Linked DNA regions of Xenopus tropicalis. The protein of the gene in region 1 interacts with the protein of each later gene in a pairwise test. Links are inferred from orthologs where the notes say so. Each region holds a gene or a part of one and is shown in the gene's direction. Other genes may lie near its edges.

Region 1 (4,151 bases):
AGGCTTGGGGGCATAGAGGTTGAACTTTTAGCTCAAAATGTTTAATTACTAAAAGCTAATGTTTTTATGAACAGCAGCAAAGAAGGGAAAAAGAAATGAGAAAGCAACAGGAGAGAGACCAAAGACGGCGGTATGAGGAGCAGATGCGCAGGGAGGAAGAACGAAGGCGAGCAGAACATGAGAAGGTTGGCCAATGTAGGATGCTCCACTGATACGCTCAGTGGCAGCTGACCCAAATGTATTTCTTTGTCAACAAAATGCAGTAGTTTTTTCCCATCACTTCATTTTATCAGTAACGTTCTACAGGTAAAGTAAGTTATGTGTATGGATTCCTTCAAGGAGAGAATATGCAGCAGAATACTGTATACCACTTTCTGATGCTATTATGGACACTTTAATGATGGCACTGATTAAGAACTGAGAACACAATTTACACTTGGCATTTCCCATCAAATACTAAATAAATTATATGTACAAACACTGGGCAGCATTGTATAAATGTATGGTTTAACATGAATTTATCTCTCTAACTGGTGTACTCTCTGCTCTGAATACCCGCTATGTTTCTTTCTTGGTAATTGGTGTCTAAGGTACTAACAATTCTTTTGCTCAATCACTTCTTTCTCCTCGTTTCTTTCTCTTTCACTGCTGCACAACCCAGGAATACATAAGGCGACAATTAGAGGAGGAGCAGAGGCAGTTAGAGATATTGCAACAGCAGTTACTGCAGGAGCAAGCTCTACTTCTGGTAATGGGAGTCATTCCCCAGTTCATTCCTGCCATTGTGTGTTGCATTACCTACTACTTCTTGGTCATATGTCCAAAGTTCTCATCTTTCAGAACAAGTGCCTTGCATGTTGTTGCACTCATTAAAATACTTTGTACCAATATGTTTCATTAAAAATAATACAGAGAGGATCTTCTTCATATTAAAATAGGTTTTCATGATTTGGAACTAAAGGGTTTTTTTCGCATTAGATTTTTACAATACATTTGTGTCTTTTTTTTTTCCTATAAATGTGATAGCATGCCAGAGTGCCATAATCCTTTCAGGGAGAGTCACGGTGATCTAAATGCCCCTGTACTAATCACTATTCTTCCAGAGTATAGTGGCCATTTAATGAATTATAAATTCAGGCATTTTCACTTTCTGCTAACATTTGTACTACTGCAACATTTGCTTAATATATTTCCTTAAATGGTCAGGTCACCCGATAATGACAGATGAATAGAACAATAAAATATATTCGTAACAACTCAAATCTAAACTCGAGATTAGTCCGCTTTTTGGTTGTCAATGATCCAAACAAGCATAATATATATATATAATATGCAGAAATGGGATTGTCTTCTGCATGTTGTCTTTTTGTTTGGTGATTGCTCCTCCATGCTCCTATTATATATAGTGATAACACAAACAAACTATATACAAATATACAAACCAAATATATTAAATATAGTGAGAAGGATTGGTTCCTCACAGCACAGACCCCTTCACCCTTCAAAAAGCAGGTTATCTGAAGCTTGGAGAAAGCAGGTTTCAATGCCGTATATATCAAAATGAAGTCAGAAATTATTTGCATTGCTAAAAATGCTCCCATGCGCTACGTAGTGGTAGTTATGAGAATAGTATCCAAGCAGGAGAAATAGGAAGCCAAGTTGGGAAATAATTTTGAATATTACAAACCATAGCTTATCTGAAAGCAGTTTTATTGTTTAGTGCAGGCTCAGGCACAATGACCCTAGATGTCTGCCTACATATTACTACTAAAAATACATTATTGGTTCAATAATGACATTTCTTAAAAGTGAAAATGAATTATTTGCAATGTAAACAGTGTAATTTAGTGAAAAAACTATGCCATAAAAATCACTTTAATAAAGTAGGGCCAGGCTAACAGATTTGCAACTAAAGGCAAATGAATCATGTCTAGAAATAAGTTTATTCCTTGCGCATTGCCATTGCATGTAATTATGGCTTGTAAAGCCTTGGCCTGCAAGGTAATGGAATGCTGTGTAGCCTTTTGTTCAGCAAAGCTGTCAGTTGCTGTTGTGCCTCACAAACCCACACCTTTGTTCTCATGAAGCAGAATTATGGCTGTTGTGCTCCCTAGGAGAGCTGTGCTCGCTTTAGGCTTTGCAGAATTAGCATTGAGCAAAAGGACTAAGGATGCTTCAGTGGTTCTTGCATAGCCGCGTATGACTTGGCGGGTTGTTCATATGCCGTAGGCACACCATTCCTCTGCCAACAACAGCAATTATCATAGATGGGAAGTCAGTGGGACAAACTTATTATACGTATCCAGCTGAAATCACCTTCTTTGATATCAAAGACTGTTACCATCCTGTTACGTCATTAAAACGATTTGTGAAACAAAATGTTCTTTTTTCCTGTTTATTTAAACCCACATAACATCCCAGTTTTACTTACAATGGAAATAATGTAGCTGGTTTTAAATAAGCCTTTATTAAAAACCAAGTCGTGAATTGAAAACGTTTTAACTTCACCTTTTAAGATAACACCCTTAAAGAATTTCTTATGCTTTATTGGAGAGGCCACTTTTTTGTTTATGTTGGAGCAAGTCTGAGTGTAGTTTGCTTTCCAGGCTAACTTGCCACTGTTTTTGCATTTTCTCCACAAAGTTCAGATTCCTACCTTTTAAATACTTTCTTTTTATTTTCACTTGACATCCTATAATAAGGTCAAACATCTTGGCATTCTATTTTGTGGAGAAAAACAAACCTATTCAGAAAAGTCTCTGGTGGGTTGGTTGCAACAATTAGAAATGGGCCAAAGAGTCAACATCTGCCTTGTGACTGATTTTTACCTACCTTTCCTTAAAGGAGTATAAGCGTAAGCAGTTGGAAGAACAGAGACAAGCAGAGCGACTTCAGAGACAGCTTCAGCAAGAGCGAGATTACCTAGTTTCTCTCCAGCAACAACAACAGCAGCAACAGAGGTCATCTGAGAAGAAACCACTCTATCATTACAAAGAAGGGCTAAACCCTGCAGAGAAACCAGCATGGGCAAAAGAGGTATGGCAGCCATTGTGCCCCAACTGGGCTAACAGAACTCAGCATGAAATAGTAACATAATTGCTTGACCGATTGGGTGTATTTCAAGTATTAATAATTTTTGAATGTTTCATCAATGTTTATTCTTTAATAACAGGCTGGGTAGGATTCAGTGTGACTGTAACTTACACAGCTCCAAACCTAGAATGTAGGCTGACATCATGTACTGCAGATACTGGTTAGTATTAAAGTGCTGAAAATACTCCCTCTGTCCACTGGGGAGCGCTGGGTACCTCTGTAAGATTAAATTCTCGTTGGACATCAATTACAACTTGCTGTATTTGATTTAATGGCCATGAAGAATACAAATGAACATTTTAAAGCTGATGAATGTGAATTAAATATTTTAGATTATTTCTAGTAGCATCCGAAAGGTAAGGAAAGTATTTAACCTAAACAAAGCCTTGTGGGGGGAGGGTCATTGTGTTCATATATCAGAAGTTTTGCTTTTAGCTTTTTGATGTTGGCGTTAGGGTTGACTGATGGTAGCTCAATGAGTTCCTTATACCTAACCATCCTTGGATCTTTGCATCTGTAGTATGCCATAGGGTCCACTTGATTTTTAAATGTATACTTGGGGGAGTAAATGCTTCAAGTCCCTGCTTGGGTATATATAGCAGAGGTCAATGAAGAAGGCAGATCCTAGCAAGGTTATGAGGAATTACTCCTTCCAAAACCCTTGAATACGTTTTATTTGAAGGAAAAATAAGATAGTCTCTGTGGAATATTATTTCTTAATCAGGAGTTGAAGAGATGAAAGGACAATTTTTTTTTTTTTATAAATGCCAAAATATTTTACATTTTAGAAAAATTGTGATGCAGTCACAAGTGAATAAACCCTCTCATTATAAGTGTTCTGAATAGGAGTCCTCTGTATTTATTATTTTAAATTATCTCCTCCCTTCACTCTTTGATTTATGTCCTCTTTACGTAGATGAAAAAGTGGGACATTGTTATTTTGTAGTTATTAATAGTTATCCAGCAATCACACAGTTATTCTGTAATCATCCAGCAGAGATGTTTTCCTAAGTAGGAAAGGAAGGATGTGAATATTAGAGAGCATTTATGACTGAACA
Region 2 (4,151 bases), on another chromosome or scaffold:
TGGGACATAATACACATACCGGGTGCAAAAACTGCACTAGCAGGAGCATCATATGTGAAAATTCATATACCCTATTTTTATTTGGGTGCCCCTGTACTCTGCATAGTTTGATAAATCTATAATAGGGCATCAAACTGTTCAGTAGGCCTCTGGTGTTACTATTTGGGGTGATTTGCCTTTGTATGCAAGATAAGTGTGTGAGATAAATGCGGCAAATTGCTGCATTTTTAGGCGATTTTCTGAAATGTCATAGAAACCACTAGCTTTAGGAAAGCTTTGCAGACTGGTACTTTGGTGTAGAAAGGACTCTTTACCCATGTTGGATTTGACAGATTGTGTACTTTCCAAAAATATATGATTTTCAGGGGGTCACCCTACATTTCTGCAGTTTCTATCCCACATAAAACTGCCATGTGTCTATGAATTAGGTAAAGGTAAGCCATGAAATTAGTGTGCACAAGGTATATTTTGGGGTCTCTAAGTGCCATGTGCTTTGATAAACCTATGTACAGTGGGCATTAAACTGTTCAGTAGACCTCTGGGGTGTTCATATTTAGGGTGTTTTACCTTGGTACCTATAGAAAATAAGATGCTGCATATTGGAAGTTTTGAGGTGATTTTTGGAAATGTAATAAAATCAGCAAACCTTTGTGGCTTGGTACTTTGGAGTAGAAAGACATGGGTACCCATTTTAGATTTCGGGGAATGTGTACTTTCCAAAAATATATGACTTTCTGGGGTGAATGTACTTTTTACTAGCTTTATCCTACATAAATGATGTAAATTTGTTGATATTGCAGGAGCTGAAATGACAGAAATGATAGATCATATGGGGGTATGTTCCCATTGGGGCCCCTACATGCCACATACTTAAGTAAACCTATACATATTGGGCATCAAACCATTCAGTGGACCCCAGGCATTCATATTTAGGGTGTTTTATCTGGTTACTTTATGTCCTGTAGGAGATAAGATACTATAGACAGGAAGCTTTGAAGCGATTTTTAAGAAATTTCACAAATTTTGATAAAAACCAATAACTTTAGGAAAGCATTGCAACTTGGTAGTTTGGAGAAGACAGACAGTTGTGCCTATTCTGTATTCCCCAGAATCTGTTCTTTCTAAAAATGTACAATTTTCTGGGATAAACCTTCTGTTAGTGGAATTTTTGGCCTTGAAATTTTAAAGTATGCAGCTTTCTGAAACAGGGCTTTGGAAATTTGGTAGTGTACTGCTGGGAGTTTTTGACCTATACAAGTGAGAAATCTCCATAAAACTATATATATTTGGTATTGGCACATTCAGGAGACATGGGACTTTCCAAATCAGTTGTATTTTCATGCATAAAATAATTTTTGTTTCTGGTGTATGTGTTTATATTATGGAAAATATTTTTTTTTTCATTTTTTAGACATCTAGAAGCCTATATCTTGTTACAGAATTGGAATTACACAGAAATTCCACCATATTTTGAAAGCTTAGGTTGTCCTGAAAAAAGATATATAGTTTTCCTGGGTAAACTAAAAGTCCCCCCGAGGAAAAGCCCCTAAAGTCAAACAGTGCAAAATGTTCAAAAACTGTCTGTCAGTAGAAGTTCCATTTTGTTCAAAATGGCTGGCAGTGAAAGGGTTAATCAGACTGTGATTGTCTATAGTTGTGACTTAGATGAAGATCAGATCACTTTTTATGACCAATTTGTGCAGAAATCCATATAATTCCAAAGGGTTCACATACTTTTTCTTGCAACTGTATGTCTCCTTTAATAAAAAAAACAACAGGGTATTGTGGAACATACTTTTCACACTGGAAAAATAACTGCATTAAAGGAAAAGTAACACTAAATTTTTTTAAGTAAAAAATCTATTCTACCCTGCTCCAATAATTGTCCTATCCTTCCCAGCGTTTATTATTCTGAAAGCTTTATTAGAAAATACCTTGTAAAACTTTGCATCCGGTCATTTCAAATACGGTGATACGGCGATCTTCCCTCGCACAAATCCACAATCTAATAAATACATGTTGCAGGGAAGCACTGATTGCATTTTAAAGGGGAAGGAAAGGCTAATAAAGAGTTAATCTCAAGCTGCAGGCATACCTTCAGTTGTCTCAATAGTGCCCTTAAGTCTCCCCATATTTCACCTGTTCAGATGATCAGAAGCCAAACAGGAAGAATAAAGGCTGAGCTGTGTAAAGAAAGTTCCCATAATGCCTTGCTCCTGCACAGAAACCCAGACAAAGTGAACATGCTCAGTTAGACTATGAGTCAGCTTTCTGCTGATTGGCTCAGATCCACATTCCTAAGGGGGGGTGAGTTTTTAGCATTCTTGAGGGAGGGGGGAGCAGGAGAGGGGAGAGAGCAGAAAGCTACGTGTCTCTGGCACATGAATTACAGACACAAGAAATCTTTTGACAGAGAAGTCAGTGCAGCGTTTCTGAGAGTGCTTATGGCTGTATTTACATAGACCTTTCTGATAAAGGTTACTTAGTTTTACCTTTCCTTCTCCTTTAAACAAACTGCAGTCAGTTCAGCCCTGCTAGCTGTTTTTTTTTGAGAAAAAAAACCCCAAAAAAAGCGTCCCTGAGTTTTCAAGTGATCTGGTCACCCTTGCACATTGGCTTTCAGTCTATTTTTTAGCAATGAAATGCCCAAAAAATGTTTTTGCAGTTGCGGGTCTCAAATTAAGGAAGGCACAAATTAAAGCAGAGTATATGTTGCTTTTATTATAATAATTCAAAATATAAGAAATTTCTGACAACAAGTATTTAGAGATAAAATTTAAGAAAACACCCTTAGGGTTTTGTTTTTCTTTTTTTTTTTTTTTTTTTGTAAACAGGGGATGCAGAGCACAAGCCATATATTTGTGGAGATGCTGATTCTGTCTCCACTGTCCTTGATGGCTCTGAAGATTACCTCATTCTGGCATGTGATGGATTCTATGATACAGTCAACCCTGATGAAGCTGTAAAAGTGGTGTCTGACCATCTGAAAGAGAACAACGGAGATAGTAGCATGGTTGCCCATAAGTTGGTGGCATCTGCTCGTGATGCTGGCTCAAGTGATAACATCACCGTGATTGTGGTATTTCTCAGGGACCTGAACACGACAACTGCAACTGAGCAAGAAAATAACCAAACTGAGAACTCTTTTGACGGTGGTCAAGAAGACAATGGAGATGATAAAGAGAACCAAGGAGATTGTAAAGGATCGTGGCCTCTTCACCAGTGCTCAGCGCCGGCTGATCTTGGAGGCTATGATGGGCGCGATTCCTTCACAGACAGAACTAGCTTGAGTCTTGGCCCTGAAGTAAAAGTTCTAGAAGAGCAAGACTATCTAAACCCATTGCAGGGGGGTGATGGCAAACCGCGTAGTGCCAAATGTTTACCATGCTCCCAAGTGACCAGTGCTAGCTCACCAAAGAGAGCCAGTGGAAGGAAAGAGCTTTTAGAAGGGTCTTCATTTTATTTAGAAAAAGGCTTTCGTGAAGGCGTTTCCAGCAGTCAAGGATTGGGATGTATTGATATTTTAATGCCCAGAAAGGAGGGTTCACTTTGTCCTTCTTGGGATTTAAAAGATAAATGTTTGGAAGCCATGATGAAGGCCCCCTTTCATTTAGCTCCCTTACATTTCAGAAAGAGGAGAGGAGGGACTAAGGCAAAACCAAAGTTTTCACAGCTTCGCTCTTCCCAAAAGCCTTGTTACAAAGTTCAAAATGTGCCCATGCAAAGTGTTGTTAAAAATAGGGTATCAATGCATAGCTCTGTAAGATGTAGGAAAGGTAGTCATCAAGATACTCTGGTGAATAGAGCATTGTTAAGAGAGAGCAACTGTATAGCACTGGCAGATCTACATAGAAGCTATAAAATGTAAAAATCTACAAACCTTGTGAGTTATATAATTGTAGTGTTCCAGTGAATTAGGTTAGATAGACCTAGATTTAAATGGCATTCTTTTCATAACTTAGTGTATTGATCTCACCCCATGCAGTGTACAGTGTGGCGTCCTGTCTTAAGGAAAACAAACAGTTTCTCAAGAAAGAGAACTCAGCGTTAAATTCAGACAATGGGAACCACTTGTCATTAACCCTATACATGTCATTAATCTTACCCATAGTACTTCCCACTTGAGGCCAATGACTACATCGGGCAGCATT
Region 3 (4,151 bases), about 23 Mb from region 1:
AAGATTTTTTTTAAAAGGTTTGGTAATTCAATTAATAAACTAAAATTCACTTTTCTTTGCTATAGAATTGTCTTGGGGTATTTGTTTGAATAGGATCAATGGTCCCAATTTTTCTTTTATCACTGTTTGTACAACAGAAATAGGAACCCACTGGCTCACATTAAAGAATTTTTACAGAAGAATTCATAAAAAAAACTCAAATATGAGAGTATTGTAGAAATGATACCTATATTGGCTAACAATAAAAATACATTGCAAGCTTTCCGGCCCTAAGGCCCCTTCATCAGGCAAAATACAAATGAAAACTGGAATGGCACAACATTTATACTGATAGATCAGAGAGAAGTGTTCACGAGCAACAAATTAGGAAGTTACAGATAGATAGAGATAACTTGTGAAGATAATAATTAATGTTTATTAGGGTGGGTTGTAAATAGTCCAGGGGCCTGGATTCAGTCAGGTCAGATAGTGTGACATGAAACCTGACCCCAAATTGAGGCCCTGTCTTAATGTGTTGAATAACTCCATACATTTGAATTCATAGATCTTCCTTTCTCATTCAGTTCCAAAGTTCCCTTTTAGAATTAACACCTTCATGTCCTGAAGCCTGTGGTCCTGATTGCAGAAGTGCTGTCCCACTCCTGGCTCTACCTAAGCTTATCAGAAAACCCTGCACTACACTGATGAGCCCCAAGAAGGGCGAAACCGGTCTGTAGTTGGGAATCTGATCAGCTATTATCCTGGCTTCTGCTTTGAAAACCCAGTGGGTGAGGTTTAGCCTATAGGATAAACCCATGTAAATGGGATTTTTCTAAGATCCTTAAGGAATTTGTTCCCAGAATCCCTTTTGACCCACCGGTGTATCACACGCTTTGGCCTTAATCGTATGTCTGTGATGGTTCATCCTTGTGCGTAGTTTTAGAATTAGAAATCCTAAACTGATTGAAGTAGTTTTACAAGTAAATTCCCATCACCCACAGCTATTGCCCTGCGTTTAGATTAAATGGTGAGGAATTACATTTATTTATAATAAGAGAAAGGTATCATTTTCCCACTTTTTTCTTTCAAACTTGTCCCACACAATATTCAGTGCATGTCACTTCAGTAATTGCTCCTTTTTTCCTGGGCTGAAATGTCTTCTCTTTTCTAATTAGTCTTTCAGGTTGTCCAAGAGCAAAGAAAAGTGGCATCAAGATAGCACAAAGCAAGGAGGATAAAGAAGATCAAGAACCAATTAGGTTAACTAACAATGATCATCTTGTAAAGAGCTGTAACTTTTAACACTGCGTACATTTCTGTGGCTACATATGCCTAATCTGTCTATATTGGCTGCCACTAGTCTATTGTCATGTACATTTAGCTAGACTCTTTAGAATCTGCTTCATATATGTAGTTAAATTATCAATATTATTTGTTACCATTTTAACCCTCCTGTAGTGCATCTCCCCATAGCTGTTCTTATTTTGTACATATACTGTTGAGTGTAACACATTACACCATATCCTTACTCCTCTCTATTGTGTCATCCCCAATATCCTGTTTCTTATGGCATTCACAATATCCTTATTCCTCTCCGTTATCTTTTTCAACCCTCCCATCTCAAAACTCTCTATTACCCAAACAAAGTTCCATCAGGGAGAGTGATATGCTTTTCACTGGAAGACACCAGACTTATGCTTCCAATAAGACCACGCTTGCTTGAGATCTGGGATACCTGCACATGGATTCCCAAAGTGTGCCGATTGTGCCAGTTAGCTGTATCGGTACCCAACAGTATAAGCCTGACTTTTGGGTCAGATAATGAACCCATAGGTGTTACCCTCCAAGCAGTCTCTGTAGATTGTTTAGGGCCATGACAGACAGGGAGATTAGTCGCCCGTGACAAGGGAGATTTGTTGCGGGCGACTAATCTCCCCAAAATGCTATCCCACCGGCGAGAATATAAATCACCGGAGGGATGGCATACGCGATGCCAAAACCGCAGAAGTTTCCTCTCAAGGCAACTTTACCACCCCACCGGTGATTTACATTCTCGCCGGTGGCATGGCATATCGGGGAGATTAGTCGCCCGCGACAAGGGAGATTTGTTGCGGGCGACTAATCTCCCCGTGTGCCACAGCCTTTAGATTTGACGAAATCTACTTTGAGGGTATGAACCTAGCAAACTATTCCATCATAGCTTAAGCTAATCTGTAGCTTGGGTTAATTAATAAAGCTAAGCAACAAGAAATATACTTCTTTCTGTTAGACATCACAGCGGTACATTTCCTTAGCATAGTGTCATTTCTTGGGCAGCCTTCATATACTTTATCAGTCAACAGGTTAAATTATTTCTTATTGCAATAATATAAATCCCTTTCCCCTTGCTTCTGTGAAGTTATCCTACCTGCTGTTTCAGTCTTCCTGCTGAGACTCAATTTTTCTCAAGCTGTCTCTGCTACAACATTCCTTATCACCCGCCATAACCTTCCCGTTGGCTTATAATCTCCTTACAAGAAGCTAGCTGGGGGCAAGGTCTATTGTGTCATTTAAGCCTGTATGACATAATTGGAGGCACACTCCAGGTGTAGCATTAGCAGAAAGAATCCTTGGGTTTTTCACATAGCCTGTACAGTGAGATACTAAGTCTTTTACTTTGTACTAAGGAACATTTTGAAACTGGCTCAGTGGTTGACCAAGACAAATATAACTCTACAAATACAACTTTGTAATTTGAATTTTAAACATGAAAATTGAGTATCTTTTGCTCCAGGATATTCATGTAAATGTTGAACAAATCTTTTCTCTACACTATGCAGGTGTCCAGTGCCTGGATGTGATGGACAAGGCCACGTCACTGGAAAGTACGCCTCACATCGTAGTGCTTCTGGGTGTCCGCTAGCAGCTAAGAGACAGAAAGATGGCTATTTAAATGGATCTCAATTCTCCTGGAAATCTGGAAAGACAGAGGGCATGTCATGTCCCACTCCTGGATGTGATGGCTCTGGACATATCAGTGGTAGTTTTCTTACACATCGCAGGTATGTCACACGACTGCAATTAAACCATGCAATAAACTGACTTTCATTCATTTTATGAATGAATTGAAAAGATCAGGCATTATGCACCATTTTATAAGCAAATAAATGAATGGTGCCTTAATTTCATCTTGCAAATTTTTGTAACATTTCCACCACTAAATCCCATTCATTAGACATCTACATTTTGGACAGGTCATCTGAATGTTTCCTTTCATCTCAAGTGCAGTAAACCAGTTAATTCTAACCACTGTTTGGTTGATAAGGGTAGAGCATGTGTTTTATACCACTCTCCCAGTTGGTCATTTCAGTTCATATATCAACTGAACATTTTTAGCTCTTGAGCATAGCCAATAAACAGTAACAGTACTACAGATGCTGATCCACTCAATCCATCCTAGAAAAAATGTTTAATGACAAAAAAATTCTACTAACTAAAATGACTAACTGTTATGCAGCTACATGAAATGTTTATCACCATCAGATACAAAGGGTGTTTTTATATATTTATAACATTTTACTACATGCTACAGATATTGTAACCATGAAGTCTCTATGCTATATACTAGTCACCGCACATACATGGTGCTTTGTTTTCCAAAGCCATCCGAAGTTTTCTTGAATAAAAAGTGGAAACCAAGTAAAGCAAAAACAAGGGGTTACGGTAGAAAAGAAGGACAAAAGAGAAGAACTAGAAGGAATAGAACAATAGAAGAAATATAAGGATCTTGTTATATGAAGAGGAGCAAACCTATTCATTCAATTCCGATATTAAGATATAAATGTATAATTAGCTCCTTTCAGCCTTGATTAATTTGTTTTAAAAATGCCTGTACTTTAAGCTTTCCTGGGGTTTTATTTTTCTAAAACTTCGTAGACTCTTCCTCATCCCCTCATGTATGTATGTATGTATGTATAACTTTATTTATAAAGCGCTACTTATGTACGCAGCGCTGTACAGTAGAATACATTAATATAAACAGGGGTATTAAAATAAATAAATACAAAGTATTTACAAACGATAAGTACAAATAAATACAAGATACAGTTGCAATAAGTTAAGAGTCAAAGACACAAGAGGATGGAGGTCCCTGCCCCATAGAGCTTAAAATCTATTTGTACTCATGTACTCAT
Region 4 (4,861 bases), on another chromosome or scaffold:
TAAGTTGTCTGTGTTGTAAAGCCACACATCACCCTGTAACTAAATAGTGTTGTTTACTTCTTGTGGCATACATACCATCTGTTAGGTCTTGTCACCTTTGAAATTCATACCCAAGTTCTGGCTTACTAAAAAGGTATATTTGTGAAAAGAACTGCTTATTCTACAAAGCAACAACAGCTGCTGGAGATGTGAAACAGAGGTGGAAAACTAAGAATATATTTGTTTGCTGTGCCCAGTAACCCCCTTCTGGGACCAGGCAAAACAGATATGTGAGACATACTATAACAGGGGGCCAGAGAGCACTAAGCCCTTTAACCAGGGGCGGGCCAAGCCAACCGGGCGCCCTAGGCAACCCGGTCAGCCAACTCGGCCCACCTCCCCGCCCCCCCCAACCCGAACGGCGCATGCGCGCCAAAGCACAGGAGAAGGTGCAGGGGGGGCGGAGCGATTAGATCGGTCATTGCCTCCACTGCTAATGACAAGCGGCGGAGGCAATGACAAAGTAGCACTAGGGGTAGGCAGGAGAGGCTCCTGCCTGGCGCCCCTTAATCGTTGCACCCTAGGCAGCTGCCTCTTCTGCCTACCCCTAGTTCCGGCCCTGCCTTTAACAATCCCACTATTTTACTAGTTCGAACCAATGATCCTACTATTAAATGTAAACCTATTCTGCAGTGTTGTACTCTACTAAAGGGGAGTGCCTACTTCTGCTATTAGTAGCAGCTAAAGCAATGATTCTCCTGCATTAGAAAAACAAACCCTCCATAAAATGCTGATGTGACCTAACATGTATGCGTGACCTTGGTTTGTTTGTGTGCACTGTAAATCTTATTATCGCCTGGGGTGGCCCCTAGCAATTAAAAATGGCAATTTTCTATCTAGGATTACCCAGTGGCACATACTACTAAGAGTATATCCTTATGAAAAAGAGCAGGAAACAATTAAGACGCAGGTATCAGGTCAGTTTCTCTCCCTGATCCATAGTCGGCTGTGAGGGATCCTTGGCTGCTAAGGGACACCCTGAGGATACGGATACTTTGCCAGGCTACTCTCCGCAGGGAGGCCGTGCTGGTTGGTGGTCCTTACCCTCCCCACCCTCGGCTGAGGTGGGCTATACGGGTGGACACCATATTTTTCTACCTTCTGTACAATTACCTGATATCTCCTCTGTGTGAGTATATTGTAATAACCCTGCATATTGATTGTCTGACAATAAACCAATTCTATTTTACAACTGCAAGAACCTTCTGGCGCCCATTTGTTACTCTGCACTGCACACAGTTACAGTGTCACTAGCGGTGCTGTTGGCTTGGTTACAGCCAAGAAGGGGTTACACAAACAACAGCAACAAAACAAAAAAGATTCCTGGTGGAACCACTTTGCTTTTCGGTCAAAACGCTCTCTTTCATAAAGTTCACCAGCACAGAGTTGGGATTCTGAGCAGCAACTATAAATGACTTCTGAGGAAAATTGCGAGTTGATGAGGCCATGGCGGTCAACCAACACGAAAGAAATATCTTTATTTTTTTTCTAACAGAGAGAAAGGTAAAAAAGACTGGAAGCTGAACTACCGCAGACAGGTAGCAGCTTCCGACTGTGTAACGCTAAGATGCGCCGACGCGTCGCTCCCACAAGGCGGCTACTGTGTCACTGCGCTGAGTTGTTGTGACGCCATTCTCGCGCGATGAGACTTGCAGTGTTAGGATTTTCTGTGAGACAGGAGGCTGGGAGCCTGCAGTTGACAGCTTTGCAGGAGGGGTAAGTGGTGATGCGGGCTTGCTGGCTATGGTAGGAAAAGCATTTGTTGGACAGTATGTATTTACTTGGATTACGGGGTCTTGTTCTGTCAGTGAGCTGCAGAATTCGGTAGGGAGGGTGGTGGCTGAACACAGATGTATTTGCTGTCCCTGCTATCCCTATACTAATGCATGGATGTTTTCAGTGTTACAATGAGTCGTCATGGAGCAAGTGTCTTCTAAGTGGCTGGCTGACTGAGGGAAGGTAACCCACTTCGTACTGTATGGGGGGCTTTGGGGTGCAGCAAACAGGTGCAGGGGAACCCTGATAGTGATCATGTTTGCATTGTGTGTGGCTTGTGGTGCTTGTCAGTGTTGTTGCTTAATGCTCAGTGTAGATGTGAGTTGGCTACGTCCCCATTTGTAGCAAATTACACAATAGTTTTAAATACTTGCACGAGACTGTTCACGTACAAGGGCCATTAATTACAAATACATAGCCACAAACGATATTTATTCCCTTTGCGATTCTGTTCTGCAGTAATACAATATGGAATTGGCTAAGTTTTCTTTTTTTTTTTTTTTTTTAGACAAAACACACACACAACATATAAAGCATCTTTTAACTGCACATAGAATGGGTTTTGTGCAGAAAATATTGGGTTATTTCATTAGGGGAAATTTGCCTTATAAGAAGACAGTGTTTCAATACATTATTTGTAAGTACATAGCGGTAGGTTTTGAAATGGTAAGGTTTCACTTTCTCTGTCTGTCCCACTGATTATACTTTTATTAATATTTGTTTCAGTATGTGTATGTTTGCTGCTCTTGGTTAAGTGCAGAGATCTTACAATGTATAAAAAATATTGTTGTTCCTGCTTTGGATAGGATATTTGTCAGACAGAGGACACTTTCTATTTTAGGGTAACTTTTGAAGCTGAGAAGTGATTTTGATGACATGATGCTTGGTCTGAAGGGGCAGAATCGGCAGCTTAAATGTCCTTGTGTATGGCCAGCATTAGAAGTTAGATGTTTATCAGCACTTTCCAAACAGTTGTTGCTGCAGAACTACAAATTAAATTTCTGGCTTCTTTATGGCAGGTTGTTTAATATTGCCTCATTTTGTTTCTTTGAACAAACACATTAGTGATGTGTGGGCTGGGCCGAAGGCCGTGGATCGGGTGGGTTAGGAACTTTAGCAGGTTGTGGACAGACCAAACTCTGCCCATGGCCCACCCTGCCAGGTGGGTTGTGTCTAGTGTGGTTATATGAATAATGACGGTGCATCGGGTTAGGGTTTAAAATGTCTTTTTTTCCAACCTATACATCACTACTCTGCATGGCGCTTGTATGTATGTATATATGTATATCTTTATTTATAAAGCGCTACTTATGTACGCAGCGCTGTACAGTAGAATTCATTAATACAGACAGGGGGGTTAAAGATAATGGATAAATACAAAGTACAACAATAAATACAATAAATACAAAGTGCAGTTGCAATAAGAGTCAGAAACACAAGATGAAGGAGGTCCCTGCCCCGTAGAGCTTACAAGCTATATGGGAGGGGTAACTAACAGACACAAATAGGCAAATATAAGTGCTTGTGTAGTGTTTCCAACATACCATGCCTTATAGTACTTAAAAGGGCACTATACCTATGATTTAACATGAATAGGGCATGTGCTGAACATTGTGCTTCAGTGTAAAAATTCTAAATAAATAGATGCCAGAGACCCAGATACAATACCCAAATATAGGTATTTCTTGGTGAAGTTCCTGAGTGTGCCTGAATTGTTGTTCTGACTTGATCTTCCAGTTTCCTGACTTTCTGCTTTTATTCTGGCTCTGATTGATGGATGCCTGCCCTGACCTTTGCCTGAATATGATCTTGAGTTTTTTTTAACCCCATTGGATATGACTCTTTGAACTCAGCTTCCTCATTGGTCCAGACTTCTGAGGCCCTTGGGCCTTGACAAGGGTTTGAGTACTGTTACTCTAATTATCTACCTTTCAAGGCCAAACAAGCAGTAGCTTCAGTTTTCCTGACTGCTCTGTTTAGATCAAGAAATAACAAGAAACATAGATTTTTAGTGATTACCCTATTAGCCCTATTCATTGAACTTATGTTGAATAGGATGTTATACTGCAGCTTTGACACATCAGTTCAAATTATCTAAATCATGTCAAACGATAAGTTGCATTGGGTCAAGTACTACTTCTTCACTGAATGGGTAGGGATCTAGTTAATTTGACATCACCCATAACCACAAAGGATTTGTTTATACAACCAAGAGCAGAAATGTGCCGGTTCATAATACTAAAAATTGAAGGAATGTGCTGAGTAAAGTTGTTTCGGGCTGGCCTATTGAAACATTTTTCAAAAGCCTATCAGCTAGTCAGCTGCCTCCTTTCTCAGGCTGTGCAGGGCGGCACTCAGCACTTATTGTAGCTAGGCTGACCTGATGGGGAACTGAGGCCTGTCTTTGCTTGTGTGACTGCAGGGCTACGATTGGCTACCCCTTCCTACTTTGCTTTTGGATGCATCCGTTAGGACACGCCCACACCTTATGTAAAACACAATCAGGGTTAATAGCAGATATGTAGATAGCTTCAATAAATAGGCTGTTTTTAAAGATACTGATAATGTTTAGCCCAGAGTGAAACCACCACCATATAGTATTCATTATTGCCTACAAAACCTTTAATTATTCCCAAGAAAACTATGACTATATGTTAGTTCCATTGTTATCTAACTTTGTTTGAACAATCTTGTAATTGTTTTCAGGAAGTGAAATGATAAAATTAATGACTTCTTCAAGATGAGTAAAGCAAAAGCAACAGCAGACAAATGGTGAGTTCTAAATGATTATTTTTTTCATGCTCATTTTATTGTTTTTTTTAAATGTAGCGTAATGGAGTAATACGTATGATTTTTTTTCTAAATTGGACTGTATCTGGAAAATAACCTTATTTAGTAAGCTATGTGAGTCTAAAACCAACTGCCAACATACCCAAAAACAACATAGACCCATGGGATGTATTGCATCTTCAAAAATGGTGTTTCTATAAATAACCAATGTATTAAAACTCCTAACAGTATTTCAGTGACCTATTTGAAGTTTACT
Region 5 (4,151 bases), about 87 Mb from region 1:
ACCCAAGGGATTGGTGAGCAATATGTTGCCCCCGAGTCACTGGTTGGGGATCACTGGTCTACAACATACTGAAAGTTAATTTAAAGGTAAATTACCCCTTAAGGTAATCGGTCCAAGTTTAGCTAAAAGGTTCTTTTTAAACCCACAGGTTAGGCAACTTCAGGAAGATGCTGCCCGACTGCAGGCTGCTTATGCCGGAGACAAAGCCGATGATATCCAGAAGCGAGAGAGTGAGGTGCTGGAGGCATGGAAAGCATTACTGGATGCATGCGATGGGCGAAGGCTGCGACTGGTCGACACAGGGGACAAGTTCCGCTTCTTCAGCATGGTGCGTGATCTCATGTTGTGGATGGAAGATGTGATCCGTCAGATCGAGGCCCAAGAGAAGCCAAGGTATGGTCAGCTTGCCCAATTATCTCCAGTGGGTTAATTATACAGAAACCCATTCTAACTAATCCTTACTATAAACTGCTGCTTGCATTCCAGTAATGTGATTTCATATAATTTCACTATACATATATACACATTATGGAATCTGTTCATTAATATAATCTGTCCTTCCATATACATTAATAAAGGCTGCAGTGAAAACCTTAAGGATTGTTTGTAGGATTGCTAGCTAAACTCCCTGTAGAGCCAGCATAGTCATGCTATCTATTAAAGACATTTTGTTTTGCATTCCAGAATTAACAAAAACATGTGTGAGTTTAGAATTTGAATTGCCCACAGAGCATATTTCCAGTGCACAGACACAGTATAGAAAAACGCAAAGTCTTGGTTGGCTTAGGCAGGTTACTGTTTTTAAAATTCAGTGTTTAATAAATTTATCTTTTTCTTTTTCCCTCATTAAAGGGTGTTTAACCAATTACCTGAGCCTGCCACAAACAGTATGGCAGAAACAAAACAAATGTGGGTACAAATCAAGGCATGAGGCCAGAGGACCCTGGCTGTGAGAGCTTAGTATATAGGGTGGGAACCATAATGATACATGAGGTGTGGAATAGAACAGTGCAGGGGAGGTTTAAAGGGGTGGTTCACCTTCAGATTAACTTTTAGTATGTCATAGAATGGCCAGTTCTAAGCAAATTTTTAGATGGTCTTCGTCATTTATTAGATATAAATTTTCAGATGGTCTTCATCATTTATTAGATATAAATATATCTGTTTCTCATTCAATCCACTTCCTGGTTGCTAAGGGAAGTTGAACCCTAGTAACCAAACCTAGCAACCAAATAACTACTGAAATTTCAAACTGGAGAGTTGCTGAACAAAAAGCAAAATTATCCAAAAAGCGCAAATAATAAAAATTTAAGACTAATTGCAGATTGTCTCAGAATAATACTCTCTAAATCAGACTAAAAGTTAACCCAAAGGTGAACAACCCCTGTAAGAAAATAGTTTGAATGCAGGTAAAGAGGAGCAAAGTCTTAGGGAATGCCACCAAATACTGTAGCATTAATATAATGGGAATGGGCTTCTCCATATGCCTGAGGGAATATCCTACATAGGAATATACCAATGTACACTCCATATTGATAAACTCGTTGTGAATATTCTTTGTGCAGGGATGTTTCCTCAGTAGAATTACTGATGAACAATCACCAGGGCATCAAGGCAGAGATCGATGCCCGCAATGACAGCTTTACTACATGTATTGAGCTTGGGAAGTCTCTCTTGGCAAGAAAGCACTATGCATCTGAAGAGGTAAGAGAAATGTAATGTAGCACTCAGCTGCAATGCAGATCTATGCATACTGTCCCAAAGCCAAAAGCCCTTAGTCAGAAGCCAGGCGTGGCTCATCCCTTCATATGTTTCTTATATTGTGAGAAGCTGATCCAGGAATACAATAACCCCATAAAGCATTGATACTACTGAAGCCATAATAAATAACTCTAATGTTACCTGACTTTCTCTGTCTGTCTCTCATCTATACATTCTTGTATTTCTGAGTATTTCATTGCTATAAGTATAGATTTTAATTAAAATGGAGCCATTTACAGTTGAGTTCCTTATGGGTGTCTGGGTAACCTTTTCTCACCCTATTCCAGATTAAGGAGAAACTGCTGCAGCTGACTGAGAAGAGAAAAGAAATGATTGACAAGTGGGAAGATCGATGGGAATGGCTGCGACTAAGTAAGTGGATGTGTGAGGCTATTGCTGAGACCATGTTAGCCATATAAGCACTGTCTGCCAAACATTTGTTTGTTCCACATCAGCCCTAGGGTAATGAGAATTCAGAAATGGAATCTGCAACAATCTCACTATTTGGAATAGAAATAAGTATAGTAATGAACATGAGTTCCTTGCTTTAATGGGGTAGTACTGACTACCCTGTACCCCACATTGAGGGCAGTGTGATTTACCAATATGCTACAGACACTTTCTTTACCTAAACAGTAGCTTTGGGTTATTTTAAGGAATGTGCTATTGCTAGAGGCATTTTGGGGGTCAGAGTCCTTCGCTCAAAAGCAGCTGTATGGAAACTCACTATGGATACTAAATGTGGCATATGGAAATCACTGATTCTGCTAATGACCATCAAACACTAAACCTACTTATGCGCTCAGTTGTGTGAGTTGAGTGAGTAAAACTTACTTTGCGTGAAAATAGTGTTGCCACCTATCCGGGTTTCACCCAGGCAGCCTGGTTTAGATAGGGCTGCCTGTCAGGATTTCCAAATTAGGACTGGACTGAAAATCTGGAGTTTAATGGTGCGGCGACCAACCAATCACTGATTGACACACCATAGACCCACCCCCCAAACTTCACCTGCCCCACCCGTTTTCCACCCACCCCAATATCATCAGTCCTGCCCCCTGCATGCACACCAAAGCCAAAAACTGTGGCAACACTATGAGAAAATATCAGTGAATTGTTTATCAATACAAACAACAGGTTATTTATGAAGATTTTTACATCAAGTAAATACATAAACCCAATGCACAAAGACTATGTTAAATTACAGTTGCTCTCCCCAATAAGTCACCCCTTGCCCCCCACTCTCTCCTGCCAGTTCTGGAGGTGCACCAGTTTTCCAGAGATGCAAGCGTTGCAGAAGCCTGGCTGTTTGGACAAGAGCCATACCTGTCGAGTCGGGAAATAGGCCAGAGCGTAGACGAAGTGGAAAAACTAATTAAGAGGCACGAAGCATTTGAGAAATCGGCAGCTACTTGGGATGAAAGGTTTTCTGCTCTGGAAAGGCTCACTACGGTATTGACACTGTGCTTTTCTTTCTTGTCTACTAATTCCACTCGCTGCAGCTTTACTGCTGATGACCCGGAGACTGCCGTAATGGTGGAACAAACAGAAAAGGGGTTTTATATTTAGTTAGAGAAACTGATTCCTCACTCTGCATTAATCCCGTCACTGACATGTCCTAATTCACATTTTTCTATAGCCACTAGAATATTAACCCAACAAAGCCCATGAGAAAACCATACAGGAGCATGTCCAATGCAGCAGCATTTTGAGGCCATAGTCACTAATTTGACTTTAAAACCTTAAAGCCATGTTTGGATCATGTTTCTGGGGGAACACTGAAGTGCTAGAGAGTGGGCCATCACCTACAGTGAACTGATTCATGCTCTATTGTTAGGCTAGCAAGCCTCTCATTGGTGTTACCTCTGTCAGGCAGTGCCTCATTGGTGGGCTGAGTTTTAGGCACTATCCCAGTCTACAGGCTGATTCCTTACATGAAATCTCTTGTCCTGAGCATTTGTAGACATTTTTTCTGTTGCCTCCCTCCTCCCCATACAGACACCACTTGGTGGAAGGGTACAGATATTATACAGTATACTCAGGGATATCTATGGAAACATGTCAAATTACTGTATACTACATAACACAGTAATATAATTTTGATATATTTTTCCCCTGTTTCAAAGGGAACAAATGGTATCTCACCTTTAGGAGGCTGTAAAGCTATAACTCACCTTTAAATCAACTTTTAGTATGATGTAGGCAGTAATACTCTGAGACAATCTGCAAATGGCCTTCATTTTATTTTTTATATTTTGTGGTTATTTAGCCTTTTGTTCAGCACTCTCCAGTTTTTTTCAGTAGTTATCTGGTTGCCAGGGTCTTATTTACCCTAGCAACCATGCATTGGTTTTAATGAGAGAATATGAATAGACAAGGGCTTGAAAGGTATG
Region 6 (4,151 bases), on another chromosome or scaffold:
GTTCACTCCCCAATTATGCCAAATTCTGCCCATGATCCATCCAAACCCCTGTCCACTCCCCAGTTATGCCAAATCATACCCATGATCCACCCAAACCCCTGTTTACTTCCCAGTTATGCCAAACCCTACCCATGATCCACCCAAACTACTGTCCACTCCCCAATTATTCCAAATAATACCCATGATCCACCCAAACCCCTGTTCACTCCCCATTTATGCCAAACCCTACCCATGATCCATCCAAACCCCTGTTAACTCCCCAATTATGCCACATTCAACCCATGATCCACGCAAACCCCTGTTCACTCCTCAATTATGCCAAACCCTACCCATGATCCACCCAAACCCCTGTTCACTCCTCAATTATGCCAAACCCTACCCATGATTCACCCAAACCCCTGTCCTCTCCATAATTATGCCAAATCTTACCCATGATCTCCCCAAACCCCTGTCCTCTCCATAATTATGCCAAATCCTACTGTACAGCGCTGCGTACATAAGTAGCGCTTTATAAATAAAGATATACATACATACATACATACATCCTACCCATGATCTCCCCAGACCCCTGTCCACTCCCCAGTTATGCCAAATCATACCCATGATCCACCCAAACCCCTGTTTACTTCCCAGTTATGCCAAACCCTACCCATGATCCACCCAAACTACTGTCCACTCCCCAATTATTCCAAATAATACCCATGATCCACCCAAACCCCTGTTCACTCCCCATTTATGCCAAACCCTACCCATGATCCATCCAAACCCCTGTTAACTCCCCAATTATGCCACATTCAACCCATGATCCACGCAAACCCCTGTTCACTCCTCAATTATGCCAAACCCTACCCATGATCCACCCAAACCCCTGTTCACTCCTCAATTATGCCAAACCCTACCCATGATCCACCCAAACCCCTGTCCTCTCCATAATTATGCCAAATCCTACCCATGATCTCCCCAAACCCCTGTCCTCTCCATAATTATGCCAAATCTTGCCCATGATCCACCCAAACCCATGTCCACTCTCCATGAGCCTCACCCCTTTCACAACCCCACAGATCATGACTTTACTCTGGCCCAACTCTGCCATTTCTGTCAGCGCTTTACTACGAGGAGAAAATGCCATGTGTGCCATTATCCAAAGTGCCGTAGTATAGATTGTAAGCTCTTTTGGGCAGGGCCCTCTTCACTTCTTGTACCGGTTTGTTACTTTGTATGTAATTCTGTAGGTCCAATGTGTAAACCCACGTTTTGTACTGCACTGCAGAATATGTTGGAACTTTATAAATACATATTATTATTGTTATTAATAATAATAATAATAATAATAAAGGCCATATTCTCCACAGGTGTTTTTAGCCAAATTGGCTAATGCCAGCTCCAGTTTAAATGAAAATGTGTGACAGTGCTGGCACTGGCATTTTTCAGTACAGGTGGATCACACAATGCCAGTGCCAGTGTTCTCATCCCTATTTAGATAAATGGCCTGTACAGCAAGGAGCATCATTATGGTCAGTTATAGAACTGCAGAAAGAATAGAAGAACTTTCAGGTTATTGGCAAAATGTCCAATTCAAAACAGCCCATAAACAAATGGTTAATTATTACAAAACTAGAGCTCCAGGCGTGAGCACATGAGCACAGGGCCAGTATCTGGCAGGAACTCTAATGATTAAATTGCGCATTGCTCAGCCTGTCAGTGGAACTTGTGTGCGCTACATTCCAGCAGGCACTCCCAGCACTCCTCAGGCATTCCCACAGTCTGTATATTGTGCCAGCGCTAAGCTGTCAGCCCATTAGGCCCTTCTAGCCTGGGGTTCATTCAGATAACAGATAACAGAAAAAGTAGTGCAATTTGCAAAAGTGCTTAGATATGGCTACGTTTCCATTCATTCCCCTGTTGTAAGATGGTGACGTTTATGTTCTGGGTTGTTCTGAGATAATATTGAATCTGCTGGATTGCTGCAGACTCTAATGGGGTTTATGTAATAAAAGGCACTTAGTTTTCCCAGGAGCAGTAACCAATAGCAACCAATCAGCAGGTAGGATTTATTGGTCACCTGTTTAAAAGCAGACATCTTATTGGCAGCTTTAAAGGAGAAATAAAGCCTAACTAAAGAAGTAGGGCAGACATATTGTACATTATGTTTTGGGTTTCTGTACCAGCCAAGGCAACCACAGCCCTTTAGCAGGGAAGATTTGTGCCTCTAAATATGCCCCAGTAGCTCCCCATCTTATTTTCTGCTGCTTCCCTACATATGCTCTGTGCTGCTGTCAGTTACTTAGCTTAGGGACCGACTCGAAATATACTTCACAAATAGAGTATAAATGTAACAGTAAAAAGCGGATTAGTAATTCATTCAGATTCACATTACATGACAGATCTAAAATCAGGGCATTAGCATCAGAATTTAATAATTAGCCCTGTAGCATCAGCTTATATGACAGACAACCCTCATTTACTGCTTGCTAATTTGCAATAACCCCTAAGCTCAGCTTCTCAACAGCTGCTCAGACCACACTGAGCATGTGCACTGTCCCGGACAGTTCCAAGATGGGAAGCTCCTGTGACAACTGTAACGACCTATATCATTACTACTATAGAGATGCTGAAACTTTAAGCCACTGCAGCCAATTTATAATATAAAATATGAAATTTCTAGCCATATTCATTTTTAGGGTTTAGTTCTCCTTTAAGTTACTGCTACTGGGTAAACTTAGTGCCGGTTATTACATAGGGGGGTTAGAATATTCCACTGATGCTTTATCTGCAACACTGTCATCCCTGGATGGTAACTTGTAACTGACCCGCTCTGTGTTTCATGTAATGGTCTCATGTTTTCTACTCTCTCTGCTTGTTTGGCCTGTAAGTGAGGTCTGTGTTACTTACCTGTAGTCGGGGGTCTGTTTAGGCAGATTGGCGAAAACCTGATTGTGCCGGGGGGCGTGAAGACCATTGAAGCTCATGGTAGGATGGTGATCCCGGGCGGCATTGATGTCCATACTTGCTTCCAGAAACCATGCAACGGCATGGTGTCTTCTGATGACTTCTTCCAAGGAACCAAGGCAGCGCTGGCAGGGGGCACCACGATGATCAGTAAGAAGGGGCTTATGGAAGGGTGCATTAATAACAGGCCCCTTGAGAGACTTCGGCAGAGTGTACTGAATTCAGTAGCTTGATGCTTCCAATTATTCCCCCACAAATCCATTCTGCTACCCTTAAGATTCACTTTTTTTGGCTGACCTTTGGGATCAATGTGATTTGGCCAAATTTTAGAATATTTCAGCCTTTTAGCAGATGTGCAAAATACTAGAATAATCATCCAGTGTCTCTCTACTGAAATGTCTGCTGTGAGAATGCGTTGAATTAATAGAACCCTACGGCCTCATTTATCTTTTTTTTTCCTTTCCTTTGATGCTGATAGTTGATCATGTTGTGCCCGAACCTGGCTCCAGCCTGCTTAGCGCCTTTGATCAGTGGCGGGAATGGGCAGACACCAAGTCATGCTGCGACTACTCCTTGCATGTCGATATCACTGAATGGCACAAGGGTGTTCAAGAGGAGATGGAGGCTCTTGTAAAGGATCACGGTGAGGAGCTGCTGAATATAACAGAATTATGGAATAGACAGGGCAAACCCACCCATTGTATTACAGATAAAACAGATGGGTGGGTGCCTTACCACGTGGGGGTGCCCAACTCATATACCTACTGCATGCCAGCTGCATATATAATCAAAACACTGCCCCTTACACATTACAGCATGTACACAATAGTGCACAAAAATCAGTGTTTGCACAATAGGACGCACCTGCTTGAGTAAAATGGCCTTGTATTCCTTGCCTGATATACAGCCATGCAGAACAATCCTGAGACCTAATGACTCTCATGAGATAGCTGCCCTTGCCATTATAGATCCACCACCACATTAAACAGTTGTAAACAGATAATGTGGGTTGAAGGAACTCTCCAAAAATAAACACAGCTTCATATAGGAAAATAGGGTAAATAAGAACTTAAAAGGCATTTAACTTTCTCCTAGACTCAAGGACCCAGCATTAATGCCCCTGGTATCTTTGTGTGTTGACATTAGATACCAGTGGTTTCTAAATGGCAGCCCTGCCATAGGTTCCATGCTTATATATCCTT
Region 7 (4,151 bases), on another chromosome or scaffold:
TGCAGTGAGAAAACCTCCATCAGCCCTGAATAATGGGCCTAGCCCTGCACCCCAGCCCAGTAATATGAAATAAAAAAGCTCACAGAAAGAAAATACATAGTACAGGTGTGGGACCTGTTATCCAGAATGCTCGGGACCTGGGGCTTTCCGGATAAGGGATCTTTCCTTAATTTGGATCTCCATACCATAAATCTGCTAAAAATCATTCAAATATTGAATAAACCCAATGGGATTGTTTTGCCTCCAATAAGGATTAATTATATCTTAGTTGGGATCAAGTACAAGGTACTATTTTATTATTACAGAGAAAAAGGAAATCATTTTTAAAAATTAGAATTATTTGCTTATAATGGAGTCTATGGGAGATAACCTTTCCATAATTTGTAACTTTCTGGATAATGGGTTTCCGGATAAGGGATCCTATACCTGTATATCTAATGGTAATGGGCCAGGGGTTTATCCTCGCTGGTCTTTCCCTTAAAGCTCAAGAGTCCAGCTGCCAGTGACAGTGAGCGGAATGGCAGGTTTCCTAGTCAGTTTATATGTACAATTGAACACTATATTGATAGCGACACTACATACACTGCAATGCTGGCCTACGCTCGTAGGTGTAATATTTCCCTGAAGTCAGAGCAACATATTGAGCTGTTTCCAGGGTTATTTTTAGTCTGTAAATTCAGTCTACAATCTGTTTAGTGCTATTCATACAGCGTCTTCAGGAATGCCAAGCCCCTGACATTTTGTTATTAAGGAGAAACCAGATTGCTTGTCTTATTATAATCCCACTCAGCTATAATAGTATAAATGTTTCCATACTGTGACACCAATTTACGGGAGACTGCAGGAAGCTGTTTTTTTAGGGTTCTATTGTTTAGGTGTTTGTGCTGTTTTGTGTAGAGAGATTTAGGGTATTTGCTTTTACTGTAAATGGAGTAAAATGTGTATTGTAATAACTGGGCATAGGGGCAGTTAATGTACTATGTGCTGGCTATGTAATTATAATGGCTGCATGGCAAATACCAGCTCCTGTGGACTCTATTGGGAGGGATCTACAGTATATGACAATTATGATTTTTATTTGGAAACCCATTATCAAGAAAGTTTCCCATTTAAACTAACACTTGTTTATTTCTATGGATTGGCTTTTTTCTGTAATAATGAATATATAGATGTTTTAATAGCCTTAAATGGATTGTTCACCATCAAGTATGTTATAGAAAAATTGGTTCTTAGCAAGTTTTCAATTGGTCTTCATTTTTTATTTGTTATAATTTTTTAAGCTTTTTTGCCTTTCTCTTCTGACTCTTTCCAGCTTTCAAATGGGGGTCACGGACCCGGCAGCCAAAAACTATTGCTCTGTGAGGCTTTAATTGTATTGTTATTGTTACTTTTTATTAATTACCTTTATATTTATGCCCACCCATATTTATATTTCTGTCTCTCTTTCAAATCACTGCCTGATTGCTAGGTTAAATTGGACCCTAGCAACCAGTTTGCTGCTGAAATTCCAAACTGGAGAGCTACTGAAAAAACCCAAAACCCACAAATAATAAAAAATTAAAACCAACTAAAAATTAAATTAAAAGTTAATTTAATGGTGAACAACCCCTTTAAAGCTGCTCCCCAGGTCCCATCTGATCTGGGTAATAATTCCATATCTAAATTCTCAGAAACTCATGCCAGAGGGCTCAGTGTTCTAGATAATGCTCAGTTTGGCATTTACTAATATATATGCTTGCTGGCTCTTACAAAACAGGACCAGGTCCAGAAATGTATATTGGGTATAATGTGTAGCGGTTTCTGCTGCTGTAATATATGTCTGTCTGTGTCAATATATTTTCTGTGTGCAATGTAAAATTTTTTATGTCAGTAATTGGGTGGGACTGTCCACATAATTGGCCCCAGACTGGCAATCTGTGGGTTCTGGGAATGCCAGAGGGGCTGCTGTAAAATTCTATAGACAGTCACTATTTATTGGGCTGGTGGGGGCTGTTTGGGCCTCTGTGTACTTGGAATGCCAGGGACTATTTGGAATCTCAGCCCAGACCTGTAGGCAGTTGCAGAAGACCCACTAATGTGATCTGTGTCCAAGGTTTTTTAGTTCAGCAGTCCTGGTTGCTTGCTTGCCCATAGCTGACCAGGAACTATAAAGGGATCTTTATTTTGCCAGAGTTGATATTTATAATAGTATTTCAGCAGCTCACTGACTTGATCTCAATGAAATTTGCCGCAGTTTATCACAGTACAGCGATGAGAACATGATGGATCCATACAACCTAGCCATCTGTTTTGGACCAACCCTGATGCCTATCCCAGATGGGCAAGATCCTGTGTCTTGCCAAGCACATGTCAATGAGGTCATCAAAACCATCATCATCAGCCACGAATCCATCTTCCCCAGTCATCGTGAGCTGGAGGGGCCGGTATATGAAAAGTGCATGACCGGAGGAGAGGATTACTGGTGAGTACTATTCTTTCATTGTACCCAGGATTAGTCCCGTTATTCATCTCTTGTTCACATGGTAGGACCTGCGCCTTGGATATTTTTAATAAAGGGATTCTGTCATGATTTTTATGGTGTTTATTACTAAATTACACTGTGCACATTGCAAATAATTCATTTTACCATTCAAAATGTTATTCTTGAACCAATAAATGTATTTTTTGTAGTTGTAATATTAGTGTGTAGGCGCTATCTCAGTGCATTGTGCCTGATCCTGTGCCTTCAGAAATAGCCAGCACTTCACAATGGAACTGCTTTCAGATAAGCTATTGTTTCTCCTACTCAGTGTAACTGGAGGAGTCATGGGTCAGATTTAGGTGTTTTACTATTGAGTGCTATTCTCATATCTGCCACTAGGTGGGGAATTGGAGCATTTTTAGCAATACAGGTGTGAGGGAGCTGTTATCTTGTTACGAGAGTGATATCACTCCAACTTGCAGCGTAGCGGTAAAGAGAGACTAAACAAGCACACAAGTACACACAAGCACTTACACAATTACACACAATCACTTACACACAAGTACACACTTACACACAAGCACTGTACACACAAGCACTTTACACACTGCACTTACACATCTGTATAACAGGTGCATTTTACATTAGTTTCTTTTTTTTAGATTTCATTATATGGGCATGATGTATAGAAGCATCAGAAACGGAATCTTTTGCCATTTTGCTTGGCCCCAGGCCAGACTGGACAGTAGGAGGCGCTCCCGTTACACATATATGACATTAGCAAATTAAAATAAAACTCTCATTATCATGATTCCTGCTCTGTGGAAAAATAGCACTGACAGCTCTCATGTTTTTTGAGTGTTCTAACAATGCATTCTGCCGTTGGAAGGTGCTGTCTGTAAGGTTACTATTTTCTGTCTGCTCTATAGGGAATAGAATTATGTTATTTTTGTGTTTATAAAGAAGAATATTCAGTTAAATGGGTTTCATCTCATTTGTTACAGCATTCGTCTGGAAATAGAGATGAGCTTATTACAAATTATATATTACAGTAATTAATTAGTGGTCTCTGATGAAAGGTATAATTAGAGGGCACTGCGTGTACAATGCTTTCCCTTTTATTATTGCTAAAAGCTGATTAACCAATGAGATGCCAGTTGGGTTCAGCCCCACCAATAGTGCAGAAGGATGTTGGATGTAATGGCGCTTATGTTTCATTACAGTGACAGTCCCCACAGTGAGCCGGGTGCTATCGATGAGGGTGACAACGGCACAGAGCCTCACACTAGTGATGAAGGTAAGAGCCTACAATAGGCACCCAACAAAAACTCAACACAAACACCCATTTTCATAGGGTTCCCGTCCCTCTTTGTGGTCTGACATCCAGTCACCTACCAGCTCATAAGGTTGAGGTTTACGTACATCTTTATTCGGCATTAGTGTGAGTGCAGTTTCGGTGCCTGAGTGTTATTATCTCATTTTTTTTTTCATTGTTTTTTTAACACCTTTAACCCTTACCCCCCTTTTCTTTAATTAACATCCACTGGGTGGTCAATATAACTGCTTACAGAACAGAATAATGACCACTGTATATGAGATGTGTTGTATCACAACTATACAACTATGGGACCTGGTACCCAGAATGCTCATGACCTGGGGTTTTCAGGATAGGGACCTTTTTCATAATTTG

What was found.
Region 2: the proteins of tnik (region 1) and ppm1e interact in a two-hybrid assay, tested with the Homo sapiens proteins (2 studies listed by BioGRID and IntAct). The link is inferred for Xenopus tropicalis from reciprocal best matches to the Homo sapiens genes TNIK and PPM1E.
Region 3: the proteins of tnik (region 1) and myt1l interact in a two-hybrid assay, tested with the Homo sapiens proteins (2 studies listed by IntAct). The link is inferred for Xenopus tropicalis from reciprocal best matches to the Homo sapiens genes TNIK and MYT1L.
Region 4: the proteins of tnik (region 1) and agtpbp1 interact in a two-hybrid assay, tested with the Homo sapiens proteins (2 studies listed by BioGRID and IntAct). The link is inferred for Xenopus tropicalis from reciprocal best matches to the Homo sapiens genes TNIK and AGTPBP1.
Region 5: the proteins of tnik (region 1) and sptbn1 interact in a two-hybrid assay, tested with the Homo sapiens proteins (2 studies listed by BioGRID and IntAct). The link is inferred for Xenopus tropicalis from reciprocal best matches to the Homo sapiens genes TNIK and SPTBN1.
Region 6: the proteins of tnik (region 1) and dpysl2 interact in a two-hybrid assay, tested with the Homo sapiens proteins (2 studies listed by BioGRID and IntAct). The link is inferred for Xenopus tropicalis from reciprocal best matches to the Homo sapiens genes TNIK and DPYSL2.
Region 7: the proteins of tnik (region 1) and srgap3 interact in a two-hybrid assay, tested with the Homo sapiens proteins (2 studies listed by BioGRID and IntAct). The link is inferred for Xenopus tropicalis from reciprocal best matches to the Homo sapiens genes TNIK and SRGAP3.

What each region holds. Positions count from the first base shown.
Region 1 is NC_030681.2:111,603,858-111,608,008, forward strand, and holds part of tnik (TRAF2 and NCK-interacting protein kinase), read left to right. Parts: intron 1-74; coding exon 75-185; intron 186-661; coding exon 662-748; intron 749-2,844; coding exon 2,845-3,036; intron 3,037-4,151. UniProt on the Homo sapiens protein: Serine/threonine kinase that acts as an essential activator of the Wnt signaling pathway. Recruited to promoters of Wnt target genes and required to activate their expression. May act by phosphorylating TCF4/TCF7L2.
Region 2 is NC_030678.2:95,294,061-95,298,211, reverse strand, and holds part of ppm1e (protein phosphatase 1E), read left to right. Parts: intron 1-2,834; coding exon 2,835-3,868; 3' UTR 3,869-4,151. UniProt on the Homo sapiens protein: Protein phosphatase that inactivates multifunctional CaM kinases such as CAMK4 and CAMK2. Dephosphorylates and inactivates PAK. May play a role in the inhibition of actin fiber stress breakdown and in morphological changes driven by TNK2/CDC42.
Region 3 is NC_030681.2:134,547,282-134,551,432, reverse strand, and holds part of myt1l (myelin transcription factor 1-like protein), read left to right. Parts: intron 1-1,154; coding exon 1,155-1,238; intron 1,239-2,798; coding exon 2,799-3,020; intron 3,021-4,151. UniProt on the Homo sapiens protein: Transcription factor that plays a key role in neuronal differentiation by specifically repressing expression of non-neuronal genes during neuron differentiation.
Region 4 is NC_030677.2:134,720,280-134,725,140, reverse strand, and holds the start of agtpbp1 (cytosolic carboxypeptidase 1), read left to right. Parts: upstream 1-1,721; 5' UTR 1,722-1,755; intron 1,756-1,886; exon of another isoform or gene 1,887-1,998; intron 1,999-4,521; 5' UTR 4,522-4,555; coding exon 4,556-4,587; intron 4,588-4,861. UniProt on the Homo sapiens protein: Metallocarboxypeptidase that mediates protein deglutamylation of tubulin and non-tubulin target proteins.
Region 5 is NC_030681.2:24,112,274-24,116,424, forward strand, and holds part of sptbn1 (spectrin, beta, non-erythrocytic 1), read left to right. Parts: intron 1-148; coding exon 149-393; intron 394-1,565; coding exon 1,566-1,704; intron 1,705-2,048; coding exon 2,049-2,133; intron 2,134-3,013; coding exon 3,014-3,210; intron 3,211-4,151. UniProt on the Homo sapiens protein: Fodrin, which seems to be involved in secretion, interacts with calmodulin in a calcium-dependent manner and is thus candidate for the calcium-dependent movement of the cytoskeleton at the membrane.
Region 6 is NC_030679.2:128,069,028-128,073,178, forward strand, and holds part of dpysl2 (dihydropyrimidinase-related protein 2), read left to right. Parts: intron 1-2,914; coding exon 2,915-3,099; intron 3,100-3,427; coding exon 3,428-3,592; intron 3,593-4,151.
Region 7 is NC_030680.2:131,637,962-131,642,112, reverse strand, and holds part of srgap3 (SLIT-ROBO Rho GTPase-activating protein 3), read left to right. Parts: intron 1-2,233; coding exon 2,234-2,461; intron 2,462-3,684; coding exon 3,685-3,758; intron 3,759-4,151. UniProt on the Homo sapiens protein: GTPase-activating protein for RAC1 and perhaps Cdc42, but not for RhoA small GTPase. May attenuate RAC1 signaling in neurons.